Drosophila melanogaster: one gene and its partner. The protein of the gene in region 1 purifies or fractionates together with the protein of each later gene. This does not show direct contact. Each region holds a gene or a part of one and is shown in the gene's direction. Other genes may lie near its edges. The genes, in order: mon2 and capu.

Region 1 (7,799 bases):
GCGTATATAACTATTTGTTTGTAAAAAATTGTTAAATAATTTTCATTTTCTTTATACCTGGTTATCACACTTTATGGTGTCGTCTAATAACATATTCCACAAGGTAAACTGCTCGTTATTCCTTACCATATGGATGGTAATTTTGTCGCGGATGTGGCACGTCTCGAATTTCGTCCGGGTGTTAGCCATCTCGCGCACATTTACCCGCCGGATGTTCAGACTTTCAGCCACAATGCCCGTGGTGAAGACATCTTCCAGCTTTAAGAATGCAGTATTCAGGGATTGGACATACAGAGCGTGAACAATGTCACCAGTGAGCAAGTAGGCGGGTCCGGTGGTGAAGTAGGGAAAGGTAGGCTTTCCATACTGAGCGTTGGATATGTGATATTTAGACCACCTGTTTCGAATGGGTTTCCAATTTTCGGCCCGTCGTCCGTAGATCGTTCTATTGGCTTTAAGCGTGCTAATGAGGGTCAATAACTTCGGCACGTTGATGAACATGTCATCGTCCGTCTTGAGAACGTACTTAGCCTTCGGACAGTGAAGATCAGCCCATTCCAGCAGAGAAATGGTCTTCAGAGTGAGATTGTTGTACGAGTCTATGAAGTGTCCTCTTATCAGATCCTGGTACATAAAATCCTCCTGATCAATGGCCTTCTTCACCGATTTGTTTTTGCCTTTTCCCAGGACAAATGCCATGCCCACGTCCCTTCTGCTGCCGTAGTGCATCCAAGTCTGCCGTATGGACATTCTGGCTGCCGAATGCCGAAGGGATGAGGTTATTAAAACTAACAACTGCGTCGATAACCCTTTTTGCGGACATATTCTTTCCATATCAATCTCACTGTCCAGGTGACCAGGTTTGTAGATAGTTTTCACAAGCGGCATTCGGACAGGAACTTCGGTATCTATTGAATACAATACCACTGATTTCTTTGCTAAAATATCTTTTGAGTCTAGCCCGTCATCTGTTGAAGAAAAGCAAAGTAACAACATCAATATGAGTCGACTAATGAATAATTAAATAGTTCTCACCATGGAGCTTTTCCTCATCAATTCTTCTGCTTCTAATTGCCGCAATAGAATCTGCAACATTTATATTGCCATCAATAGTTGTATAGATATCCTTGTTGCCTTCACTGCTGTTTCCTGAAATTTGAACGGCGAATCCATCGTCGAAATCTTTAATAGGCTCCCTAAAGGATCTTAGCCGTATCGCTTCGCCCACTAACTGTATTGCAGGATTTTTTGACATTACATCAGGTTTCGCTGTCGTAAAATAGTCGACTTTTTCCATTACCCCTACTTTGGAAACGTACGTGAAGACAGTAAAGCTGACAAGGATTAGTATCAGGATGCAGCGCAGCAGTCGGCCAGCCATGGCTATAAGTTAGTTCTAGTTTTCCGGGAATGTGACCGCTCTACAAGGTGGATTTGAACCAAGCACCCAAAAGTCATGTTTATAAAGTTCGCTTAAATAGGCAAAACATGAAAAGCATACTTGACAGATTATTTTTTAGTCTTATCTTATCCTTTTTGGATGTTGTATTTATGGAATTTAACGTATATGGCTTTTGGGATTAGGGCCTCATCCTGGTAAAGATACTTCTTCCTTGCCATTATCTTTATTTTCCGTTTCCGGCGACCCACAAAATTTCACCGAAACTCCTGCTCTGTTAAGGGCGCTTTTCAGGCCACTGTTGATGATGGTTCTGCTTATGTTAGTTAACATGGCCAGCTCGCGTTGCCAATCACTAGCAACTCTGCACTGTGTACGTCAGCTGTCAAAACGAATCACAATTTTTTCACGGCTTTCATTGTGCGCTGCATTATTATTGCATTTTCTCGAGTCCAAAGTGGTTGCGTAGCATATGCGTGTATCGGTCGCAGTACTTAAATGTCGCACGCATCCGGTGCAGTGAGTGTCAAGTGACCAGGAGCGAGTACAACCAGTGACCATGTCGTTTGTGGGCGGGGGCGGGTGCGGTGGCCAGGACGTGCACAAGTTTGTGGAGGCCCTGCAGGCGGATTTCAAGACCCTCTCGCTGGAGACCAAGAAGAAGTATCCTCAGATCAAGGAGGTGAGTCCTGCTGACGTGTGATTCACGGCCGTGGTTGTCTAATTGCGGCACTTATCCGCCGACACACGAGTGTGTGTCACCCAACAACCCAGTTGGGTGGTGGTGGAAGGACGTCGGTGGGCGGGGGGTGGTTTGCTCTGGTTCCACCTGTGCTTGCTCTACGCAATTATGAAATTGATAGCCAGCGCATATGAAATTGTTTTTATGACATTTCCACCTGCAAATTAACTCTCTAACGTTTCCAATTCCCAATCAGGCGTGCGAGGAGGCCATTTCCAAGCTCTGCACAGCTGGCAGCAGCCAGCAAAACTCGGTGTACTACACCGTCAACCAGATACTCTATCCGCTGGTGCAGGGATGCGAGACCAAGGACCTCAAGATCATCAAGGTAAGAGCAGCCATTTATATAGTAAATATATCTAATTGCTTTCCTATCTTTTTTCCAGTTTTGCTTAGGCATGATGCAGCGGCTCATCACCCAGCAGGTGGTGGACCAGAAGGGCGCCCTATACATCACCAACGCACTGTGGACCCTAATGGAGAACAACATCGAGGAAGTCAAAGTGCTGCAAACAGTAACTCTTTTGCTGACCACCAATACGGTGGTGCACGGCGACACATTGGCCAAGGCCTTAGTTCTGTGCTTTCGCCTGCACTACGCCAAAAATCCCACAATTGTGAATACGGCCGGTGCCACCATCCGGCAGCTGGTGTCCCTGGTGTTTGAGCGAGTGTACCTGGAGAAAGACTCGGTTTCCAGCCTCCAGCAGCAACAGTCCAGTGGTTCGCCAGCTGAGGGAGAGGGCGGAAATCAGGATGTGCAGACCTTTGCTTCGGATGCATTCCTGCTATTTCAGGATCTTGTGCAGTTGGTAAACGCGGATCAGCCCTACTGGCTGTTGGGCATGACCGAAATGACGCGCACCTTTGGTCTGGAGTTACTTGAGGCCGTGCTGACCAACTTCAGTGCCGTGTTTCACGAGGTATGTTTACAAATCGGCCTAGACGACGAATCGACTTTCAAGTCTTTCGATTTAAACAATTGTGCTGTTTCTATAGGAGTTTAGATCAGAAAATAAGCAAAAGCAAGTCTGAAATTTCAGAGTTCCAAAAGATCAGTTTTATTTATATATTAATTAAATCCTTTTTTTTTCAATAGAGTAACGACTTTCGACTGCTACTTAAGGAACGAGTCTGTGCCTTGGTCATAAAGCTCTTCTCGCCAAACGTCAAGCATCGCCAGCTGCCTGCACCAAGCAATGGAAACGCTCCTGTGCCGGCCGAGAAACCCTATTTCCCAATTAGCATGCGTTTGCTGCGCCTCGTGGCTATACTTATACAAAAATACCACACTATACTGGTAACAGAGTGTGAGATCTTTCTGTCGCTGATTATCAAGTTCTTGGATCCGGATAAGCCAGCTTGGCAGCGAGCCCTGGCCCTCGAGGTTATCCATAAGCTGGTGACGCGCTCTTCACTGATTGCATTCTTCTGCAAGTCGTACGACTTAAAAAATCATGCAACCAATATTGTGCATGACATGATTGCTGCCATGGGCAGCTACATTCGATATTCCCTGATCAATGCATCGGCCATGCTGAATGGCCAGCAGAATGGAGTCGCCAATTCACTGACAGCCATGTCGGGAAGCAATCAATGTGGCTTCATGTTTCGAGGTGCTTACCTTCCCTTGGTAGCCACATATGCGCCAGGCGTCTCAAAGGCCGTTTAGTAAGTTGAAATATCAGCTTTTTTGTATAAAATCTTATTTATAATTTTATTTTTCAGCTTGGAAATGTTGGATAAGATAGATGCATCGAATATTCCCGACAGTTATGGCATCTCGGTTGGGCATGCTATTCTACTGGATATGACTCGATCGATTGGAGGTGTCATTCAGCGAACCCCGGAGCTTCATCCCAGCCACAATACGGCAGTGATCACTGAGGAGGAGCACAAGCCACTGTGCCTCCAACTGGTGAATTCCAGCTGGTCTGCCCTGCTCAGCGCTTTTATTCCGTTGGTTGAGACGTCGATTGACGAGGCCACCACGGAGAACATCCTCAAGGCTATGCAAAATTATGCAGCTCTGTGCGGAATGCTGGAGCAACTGCAGCCCCGAGACGCCTTTATAATGGCCATGTGCCGCGCCTCCTTTCCGCCCCACTATGCCATGTCCATATTTGCCAATACCACACAGTCGGATGGTGACTTGAGATGTAAGTTCTTAATTGTATTTATTATTTATTGTGTATTTATTTATCCAAACCTATCCGTTACAGGTCACACGCGCAGTGGTAGTCAAGATCTAAGCAGCCAGTTCATCAATAGCTGTAGTGGCGATGCAGGAGACTTCCGACCCCAGATCGTAGCGGTGGGTACACCACTGCCATCGGCATCGCTGCCCCACAGCGTGATGCAAGCGCCCGTGATGCTGACTAACAAGAATCTACAGTGTATGCGAGCTATTCTTTTCCTAGCGCACAACAATGGTGGGATTTTGGGTACCTCCTGGCATATTGTGCTGCAGACGCTGCAGCATCTAGTGTGGATCTTGGGGCTGAAACCTTCTACCGGAGGCAGTCTTCAGGCCATGCCAAAGCCAGCTGTAGAGGCTAATGTGGGAATTCAAACGGCAGTGATGGCTGATCTTCCGGTCCTGTCACAAATGCTTAGCCAGCTGTTCGAGTCCAGTCAATATCTGGACGATGTAGCGCTGCATCATTTAATCGATGCATTGTGCAAGCTCTCCCACGAGGCCATGGAACTTGCTTATGCCAATCGGGAACCATCGCTTTTTGCGGTAGCCAAACTGCTAGAGACTGGCCTAGTAAACATGCCCCGCATAAAGGTATTGTGGCGACCACTTACAAATCACCTGCTGGAGGTGTGCCAACATCGACATATTCGAATGCGGGAGTGGGGCGTGGAAGCCATTACCTACCTGGTGAAGTCTGCCCTACAGTTCAAGCACAAAACGCCCCTCAAGGAGAACATGGTAAGATTACCCCTCTGTATTTCTTTAACAATTATTGTAGAACGTCACTGAAAAGTGTTTCAAAGAAATAGTACCACAACAAAATGCAAATTTACCCCTTTCACGTTTAGGAACTACAAACAATGCTGCTGAGTCCACTCTCTGAGTTGTCTACTGTCCTGCACGCAGATGTACGTCAGCGACAGCTGGATTGCGTCCTTCAGATCCTAAACACTGCAGGGGAAATCCTCTCGTTTGGCTGGCCAGCCATTATTGAGATCATTGGTGCTGTAAACGAGCACCATGGCGAGCCGTTAATTCGCACAGCATTCCAATGCCTGCAGTTGGTTATCACAGATTTCCTGACCGTAATGCCATGGCGGTGTCTGCCGCTGTGCATCAGCACTGCTGCTAAGTTCGGCTCCCAGACCCAGGAATTGAACATTTCTTTGACGGCTATCGGTCTCATGGTAAGCTATGTTATACATATTAGATAAACTGTTGCATACATAGTATTATTATTATTGAGTTACTTTAATTTTGTACTTTGATTGCAGTGGAATATTTCAGACTTCTTTAATCAAAACCAAGACAAGCTAATGTCCACTCAGCTGCAGGATGTGTCCATTCTGCCCGACTTCCCAGGCACAGTGAAGATGCCGCAGTTCGATAAGTTGTGGATGTGCTTGTACGCCAAGCTGGGCGAGCTGTGTGTGGATCTGCGTCCGGCGGTGCGTAAATCGGCCGGCCAGACGCTCTTCTCCACCATCTCCGCCCACGGCAGCCTGCTTAATCCGCCCACGTGGCAGGCGCTGGTCTGGCAGGTTCTCTTCCCGCTGCTGGACAACGTGCGTGCTCTGAGCAGCTCGGCCAGCAACGAGAAGGTGGACGCCAGTGGCAACATTCTTATCCATCACTCGCGCAACACCGCCCAAAAGCAGTGGGCAGAAACGCAGGTGCTGACTCTATCGGGCGTCTGCAGGGTGTTCAATACAAAACGGGAGCTGCTTCAGATGCTGGGTGATTTTGAGCGAGCCTGGTCACTAATTCTAGAGTTCATCCAGAATGCTGCGTTGAGCAAAAATGGTGAAGTTTCACTTGCTGCTCTGAAGTCTCTACAGGAGATCATGTACCACAACACAGCAGAGCGAACAGAGAGGGCATTGAAGGATCCTCAGACGGCACAGGAGCAGGACGAGGAAATTTGGACTGTGAGTAGTTTAGAGATTAAGATAGCTGTCAACCAAAGTGGTTGTCTTTTGTTTATTTATACTAAATGAACTTTTGTCTTTCCTACTTTTGAGCAGATTGCTTGGAACATTTGGCTTAGCATTGGCATGGAGAGCACCAAAATGTCCACATCGACGTCAGCGAAGTTGCAGCAGCAAAATAGCAATGGCGCCGAAACTCAGGAGGACTTTTACATTCCCAGTCAGGCCTTCCTCACCGCCCTGATCCAAATCTTTCCCGCCATTTTTCAGCACATTCAAGTCAAGTTAGTAGACACACCTACTTAGGAAGAACGCATTGTCATAGATTCCCCAAAAATATAATATATTTTAAATTGATCAATTTATACATTTGCTATGTTTAATATCGTTTAGCTATTTTTTTCAAAACGATTAATTTATATTTGAATTGTTTTCAGATTTACTGCCGCAGACTTTGACAAATTCTGTACGGTACTGACGAACGCTGTGTGCATTCCCGTCCAGACCGATGCGGTTCCCTACATCATGTCCACTGTGTCGGACACCCTGCTGACGCCGCTACACGATGGCATTCTCGATTGCATGGAACTAATACAGAAGGCAAGCATTTACAAGACAATCCATTATAATATATAATTAATAATCTTTGAATAGGAGGCGACAAAACCCGATTCCCACATCAGCCAGCTTATCCCTGCCATTTTCCGGCAGTTGCTGATCTTTAGTAAATTCGCTTGCGCACCGCCCACATTTCAGCAGAGTGTGGAGCACAAGTATGCGAAGTCCTCGGGACACTATGCCAACAATGCCTCCGTTGAGGTGGTCAGCATGAACTACATACCTTTCGGTGAGAAGTCAATCAGTATTTGCGTGAAGCTTTACCAGACCACGGCCACCGAGGATTCGGTTGTGCAGGAGCAGATTCTGCATGACATCGTCAAGGCTCTGCGCACGCCGCTGGCGATGAAGTACAAATGCCTTTCCTCCAGCACATGGAAGCTGGCCATTTCCAGTCTGATTAGCGTGCTGCATACTGGTCTCAAGGTGGCGCGAGCTAAGCCGCAACATTTCGCAAGCTTGTGGGACGATTTGGCCGATACCCTGGACAAGTTCCTGTTTCCGGCGAGTGTGTGCACCATCGAGGATCGCGGTCTCGAGGAGATCGTGCTGGATGAAACGATCGATTGTCAGGTTATTGAGCTGCTGAGGGACGAGGTGTTGCCTCACTCGCACGAAATGCCACACCAGTTTATCATGCAGATCGTAGTGCTGCTGAACAAGGGATCTATACACTCCGCCTCAGACACGAACATTTGCTACGAATCCGACTGGAAGCTGCGTGAGATTTTTGCCAAAACGTGTTTCGAGACCCTTCTGCAGTTCTCGCTGCTAGAGGACCATGCCAACACCAACAACAATCGTCTCAACGCCAATGTGTTGACTGCTGGGGCCGCGGGAGCAGGTGGCAAGGACTTTGCCGGCAGACTAGCAGTCACCGCCCTGTTGCATCGATTCCAAGAGGTGCTCAAA
Region 2 (5,159 bases), 4.2 Mb from region 1:
AATATTCTGGTCAAATCATTGTTAAACCGACAGCCAAACACAAAAGCCACCTTTGAGGTTTCTATGCATTTTTTTTTTTAAATATGGAAATTGTTCTCGTTTAAATCAAATAAAAGAGACAAAATGTTCATTTAATTGCTTTTCCGCCCAGTCAGCCCAAAATGCAAAATAAACATGACCAATAAAAATCAAACTTCGACACAATGCGAAAAAGGGGAAAGGTTGGCAAAAGTTTTTCGACTCCTCATTAGCTTTTGTCTCCATTGGGGCATTAAATTGGAACGAATATTTGTTTGCTCGGTTCGACTAATTGCGCTGCTAATTTCAATTGTTCGCATTGTCGGCAAGCAATAATAATGCAAAAATTGTAATTACAAATTAACAATTGGTCGTCTGGGTCCCTCGGTGACCTAAAATTAGATTGTGTAAATTTGCAAATTAATTTGCCATTGCACAAAGAGCTCCGTGCAATTCAGCTCGGCAAAATCAGAGCACACAATATCAATTTATTTACTGTGCAATCTGTAAATAGTAGAACATGGAGTCATTAAATTGCAACTGCTAAAAAAAAAACTTGAAAATTTAGTACTGCCAGTCAAAAGTCCAAGTGAGTTGCATTTACATAAAAATAGGCTAACAAAAAAAATATCTACACAGCGTCATACAAGACCGCAAAAATATGGAAATTCAAATAGAAACAGTATCTTTTAGCAAAAAGAGAAAATCTTTAAAATAAAATCATAATAGCCGGCAAATGGAATAATCAACAGACATCAAAACGAATTCGAATTAAATTTTAAACTGCGGGAAGCTTAAAACCGATTTTGTAAACTACAACTGGGTGAAAAGTTCAATACAAATACTTTTATTTACTTTTCACCTTCATTTGTGAAAGGTGATTACCGAAAAATCATCAGCCAACTATAGCAAAACTTTCTCCCAACTTGCGGATGAAACAAAAATGATACAAATTCCTTTTTGCTTTCTTTTTTCGCTCTAAAATTATAAAATCGAAATGGGTTGTAAAAACAATCAGTTGTACAGAATTCTTTGCTTGCTTTCGATTGTTAGTAAAACCCTTGAGCACTCAGTGATATTGTAAAAATACACAAAATATTTAATTGCACAGCAAAGTATAAAAGAAGGGGGAATTATCTTTAATCCAATACTTGTTTAGCTCTGTTATGAAATATTTGAGTAATAAATCCACATAATTGATACTTTTAACAAACAAAATAAAAACGTAATATGTGAGCATTAAAAATGAAAAATGTATCAGTATTTTATTTGAATAATTGCAAGCGGAAGCAAGGAATTTAGTAAAATAAAATAATTTCGTTTTTGAATGAAGGTTACATAAATTTCTCTTAGCGATAAAAACTATTTAATGGATATTAAAGATTTAAGGACATTGTAAATAGATAAACAGAGTAAACCAAAGAGTTTAGAAATTTAATTTGAAATAAATGTGTTTAAAACATAATCGAAAATATTTATTAGAATAGTGAATAATATCTGCATTTTTATGAATGGGTTACTGTGGCGTTGAGTAAGATACATCTATAAATGGTATTTCTTATTTAATTAATGATCTTACTTTTAACTATGTATAATAAAAAAATAGTTTTAAAAATAGTTAAGGAGTTTTATTTAGTCCCCGAACAAACTCAGACCACCCACGCATTTTTCAAGTATCCACCTAGATATAAACAAAGATGTACTGGTAATCCAAAACCAAATATGATCAAAATAGCCAATAACTTTAGTCTAAGTCTGCGACTATATTAAACTGTCCATTTTCGTTCTATAATTTTTACTCAAACTAAATGTAAACTATTAAATCTGCTTTTAAAAAAAAAAAGAACCGAGAGAACAGAAATGTTCACGCCAGGCGATTGAAACATTTTACTGACCTTTTTAGTGCGAAACCAAAAGTTTAAACTAATTTTAATTGTAAACCTAGACAGTAATGATATACGATATATTATACAATGTAAATCAGAATATACGATAATTATAAAGTAAATAAAATGAAATTTAAAACAAGCAGTTCGTCTACACCGTTCAATTGGGTTAGGCATACAAAATTCTGTCAAAATTTGTGTAATTTTTCGTTTCCTTTTTTTTGTTGTATATCGTTTTGGTAAGATGATTGTGTATCCAATGGAAGAGCTCTATCCGGCTATGATGGTCATAGCCATCACATTGTTAGCCCTTCTGCAATGGGGTATTCGTGCCACAATTAAGCCCAAAATATTGGGCCCACAGAAAAACGCAATAAAAAATGGAGTAAACAACAAAAGGAGGAAAGTCCTCTCCGCCATGCAGGTAAATTGAAAAATGTTTGCAATTGTTTTTACCATCTATCTATGCTCTTTTTGCGGTGCGCACAATTAAGGTGGAAAAATGTAGATCGACTGTCAGATATTCTTACAGAAACTGAATATATTTTGCCTATCTGAGCATTAAACAACAATGACCATTAATGATTTATCAGATTTAAAGACCAGTATATATGTATAATATATAATTAATAATCTTCATATATATTATTTTTAATTACTACAACTTAGGCACAACACTAGTATTTTTAACAATCATTGCACTTAACAGATTTTTGTTTTGATTTTAAAAAGTGTATTCAATTATTTCGCAACTTTAAAACTCAATTTTTGTGGAATTTTATTTTTTGACTGCTTGGCAACTCTGACCACCAATGCGTGCCTGTGTGTGTGTTGCTTGTCAGTCTGCGTGTGTGTGTGAGTTTGCGCTGCTGGCAAACCGCAAAATGGTGACATTGTGCAAATAAAAAACAATTTACGATAAACATCAAATTTCCACAAATTACCTTATATTTTACGTGAGTTGCGAAACAGATTGTAAAACGCGAAAACACACACAAACCGAGGGAAAAGTGAAAAAAAAGAAAACCGCGATTCGCAGATTTTACACTGCAATGAACATTTTGTTTCACTGTTCACCATTGTTTGCCAAGTGTGGAATAGGGGCGAGAGGTTTGGAAACTTGGGGGCGTGGCTAAGAGAGGTGCCACTTTAAGCGTGCCGCATGCCCCCACCTGAATCTCGAATTTTGCAATTATTTTTATTGCTCGCCATTTTGCTCGTCTGATGTTTTCCACGTTTTTTTTTTTCACCCCCCAGCTGCAACCTGACGGGGGTTGGGGAATGTGTTTGGGGGCAGAATAGAGGTCGTAGGCCATTTCGAGGGCCCTTCATAAATTTCCACAGTGCGGAAGAAGGAAAAAAAATTATTCTTTATATGAGGGAAATAAATAAAAAAATGCTTGTTAAGCTGCGGCGCTGTATGTTTGCGCATAAAAAGCATACAAATTATGCAGGCACTGTAAGAGATTAAAAACTAAATAAAAATAAGTGTGAAAAATTGCTTCCTAAATATATAACGAGAAACCCTTTTCAATCTTAAATAGTATCATTGATCAAACTTTTCAATCGCACCTTTATCAACACCTCAGATTTTCAGAGCAAAAGAGATTTGCAGCCATCTTGACATTTGTCGGCCAGTATGAGGCGCCACTTTCCCACGATTTTCCATTTCGAAGAGCTCATTCCTGCCCCCTAATTGATGTCGCCAGGTGTCGTCGAACCACATAAACAGGGCTCAACGGCAAAAAAAAAAGAAATCCAGAACAGCCAGTTCACTGGCCGCATTGTGCGCCAGAGGGCCAATAATTAGGAGTGTCTTTAAGATGGGTCTAAAAAATGATAAGAGGGCTGGAAAGCAGATAGCGACATGACCAACTCAAATAGGCAGCGGGGAAACTTGGCCTAGACTGTGTTGACTTGCTGGCCAATGTAATTAGGGAGCATTAGGATTAGACCGACTGTTCCCAAGCAGCGGATAACAAAGCACTGCACAGAGAGAAGATAATTAGGTCTAATTTGTACTATTAAATATACTTCTTTAAAGGTATTAAATAAAAATTCTACTTAGCTCGTGGGAATATCAGAAATTAAATGCCAAGTAGTTGTTAGAAAAATATTGAATAATCCTGAGAAACATACTTCTGATTTTCAGTGCAAACGCAATAAGCCAACTAAAACTTGGCCAACGGCAAGTTGGAGAGAAGGAGCAGAAAATGTGGTAAACTTTTTGCTGTTTTGGCGTAAACAAAAATAAATCAATTTCTTGGTGCGCACAATTGTTAAGATAGTAGATAGGACAGAGTCCATAACGACAGGACCGAACAACAGGATAAGTCCGCAGAGTCATGTCAATGGCCGGCGGCTTTCGAGAAATGGAAATTTCGAAAGACGCCAGGCATTTTTCCTTAGATTCTTTTGCAAATATTCCAAATTCAACGGAAAGTGGAATAATATTTGCACGACTTGCGTATGTAAAGCCACTTATACCTGGGACCATGCTGATTGCATTTGGAAGTATTTTCAGGTGCCTGTGGCAAATTTAAATATTCAAGTGACCTTTAAGAAGAAGTTTTTATAAACAAAAACAATTTAAACATTTCTTCTTGGCACAACTCATATACAGAGTTCCGTGGATTTCCGTGGCATCGCCGATAATTATTTCTTGAAACATGCTAGAATTCAATTTCTAAAACTCCAATCAAATTACCAATATACACGTCTCGAACAGAAACCTAATTTGAATGCCAGCGAAGCGGGTGAAATGTAGTTAACTTTCAGTCGATTTAGTTTGGTTTCGAGCTCCCTTCAATAACCCTTGTTCTAAGCTCCAAGTCCCCCATACCGTCACCATTAGTTCTTATTCCCCGGGTTCTTGTCGCTATTTCTGCTGTTCCTGCTGTTGCATCGCATTCTCATTGACAAGTTTAATTGATGGGCGTCAGCGTCAGCTTTTGGCTTCAGCTCGACGGAGTTTGGGGAAAAGGCCATGGCCAAGACACCATCCCGCATACCCCACTTTGCCCATCACACTCTGACCCCCGTTGTACAGTACACCCTCGATTACCGGAATGGCGACGCGACAAAACCGCAGAATCTAATTTGGCACAAACCACCAAAGCAATTAAAGTTGCAGCTCTGCAAACGGTGTCCGATGCGAATGTTCCCCAACTGTCTATCTGTCTCTGTCTTTCCCTCGGCGCGTTTGTGTGTGTGTGTGTGTGTGTGTGTGTGCGAAGGTATCGGTGTGGGTGAGTC

Evidence for each region.
Region 2: the proteins of mon2 (region 1) and capu purify together in Drosophila melanogaster (affinity purification with western blotting, with the first as the bait; one study listed by BioGRID). This does not show direct contact.

The regions. Positions count from the first base shown.
Region 1 is NT_033779.5:8,117,974-8,125,772, reverse strand, and holds the start of mon2 (monensin sensitivity 2), read left to right. Parts: upstream 1-1,762; 5' UTR 1,763-1,958; coding exon 1,959-2,081; intron 2,082-2,337; coding exon 2,338-2,469; intron 2,470-2,527; coding exon 2,528-3,064; intron 3,065-3,240; coding exon 3,241-3,812; intron 3,813-3,869; coding exon 3,870-4,300; intron 4,301-4,363; coding exon 4,364-5,079; intron 5,080-5,189; coding exon 5,190-5,528; intron 5,529-5,615; coding exon 5,616-6,269; intron 6,270-6,365; coding exon 6,366-6,553; intron 6,554-6,706; coding exon 6,707-6,869; intron 6,870-6,923; coding exon 6,924-7,799. Other genes in the region: CG8673 (uncharacterized protein), read right to left, coding at 52-968, 1,036-1,381. UniProt on the Drosophila melanogaster protein: May be required for traffic between late Golgi and early endosomes.
Region 2 is NT_033779.5:3,899,764-3,904,922, reverse strand, and holds the start of capu (cappuccino), read left to right. Parts: upstream 1-2,062; 5' UTR 2,063-2,328; intron 2,329-5,159. UniProt on the Drosophila melanogaster protein: Acts as an actin nucleation factor and promotes assembly of actin filaments together with spir. May play a role in intracellular vesicle transport along actin fibers, providing a novel link between actin cytoskeleton dynamics and intracellular transport.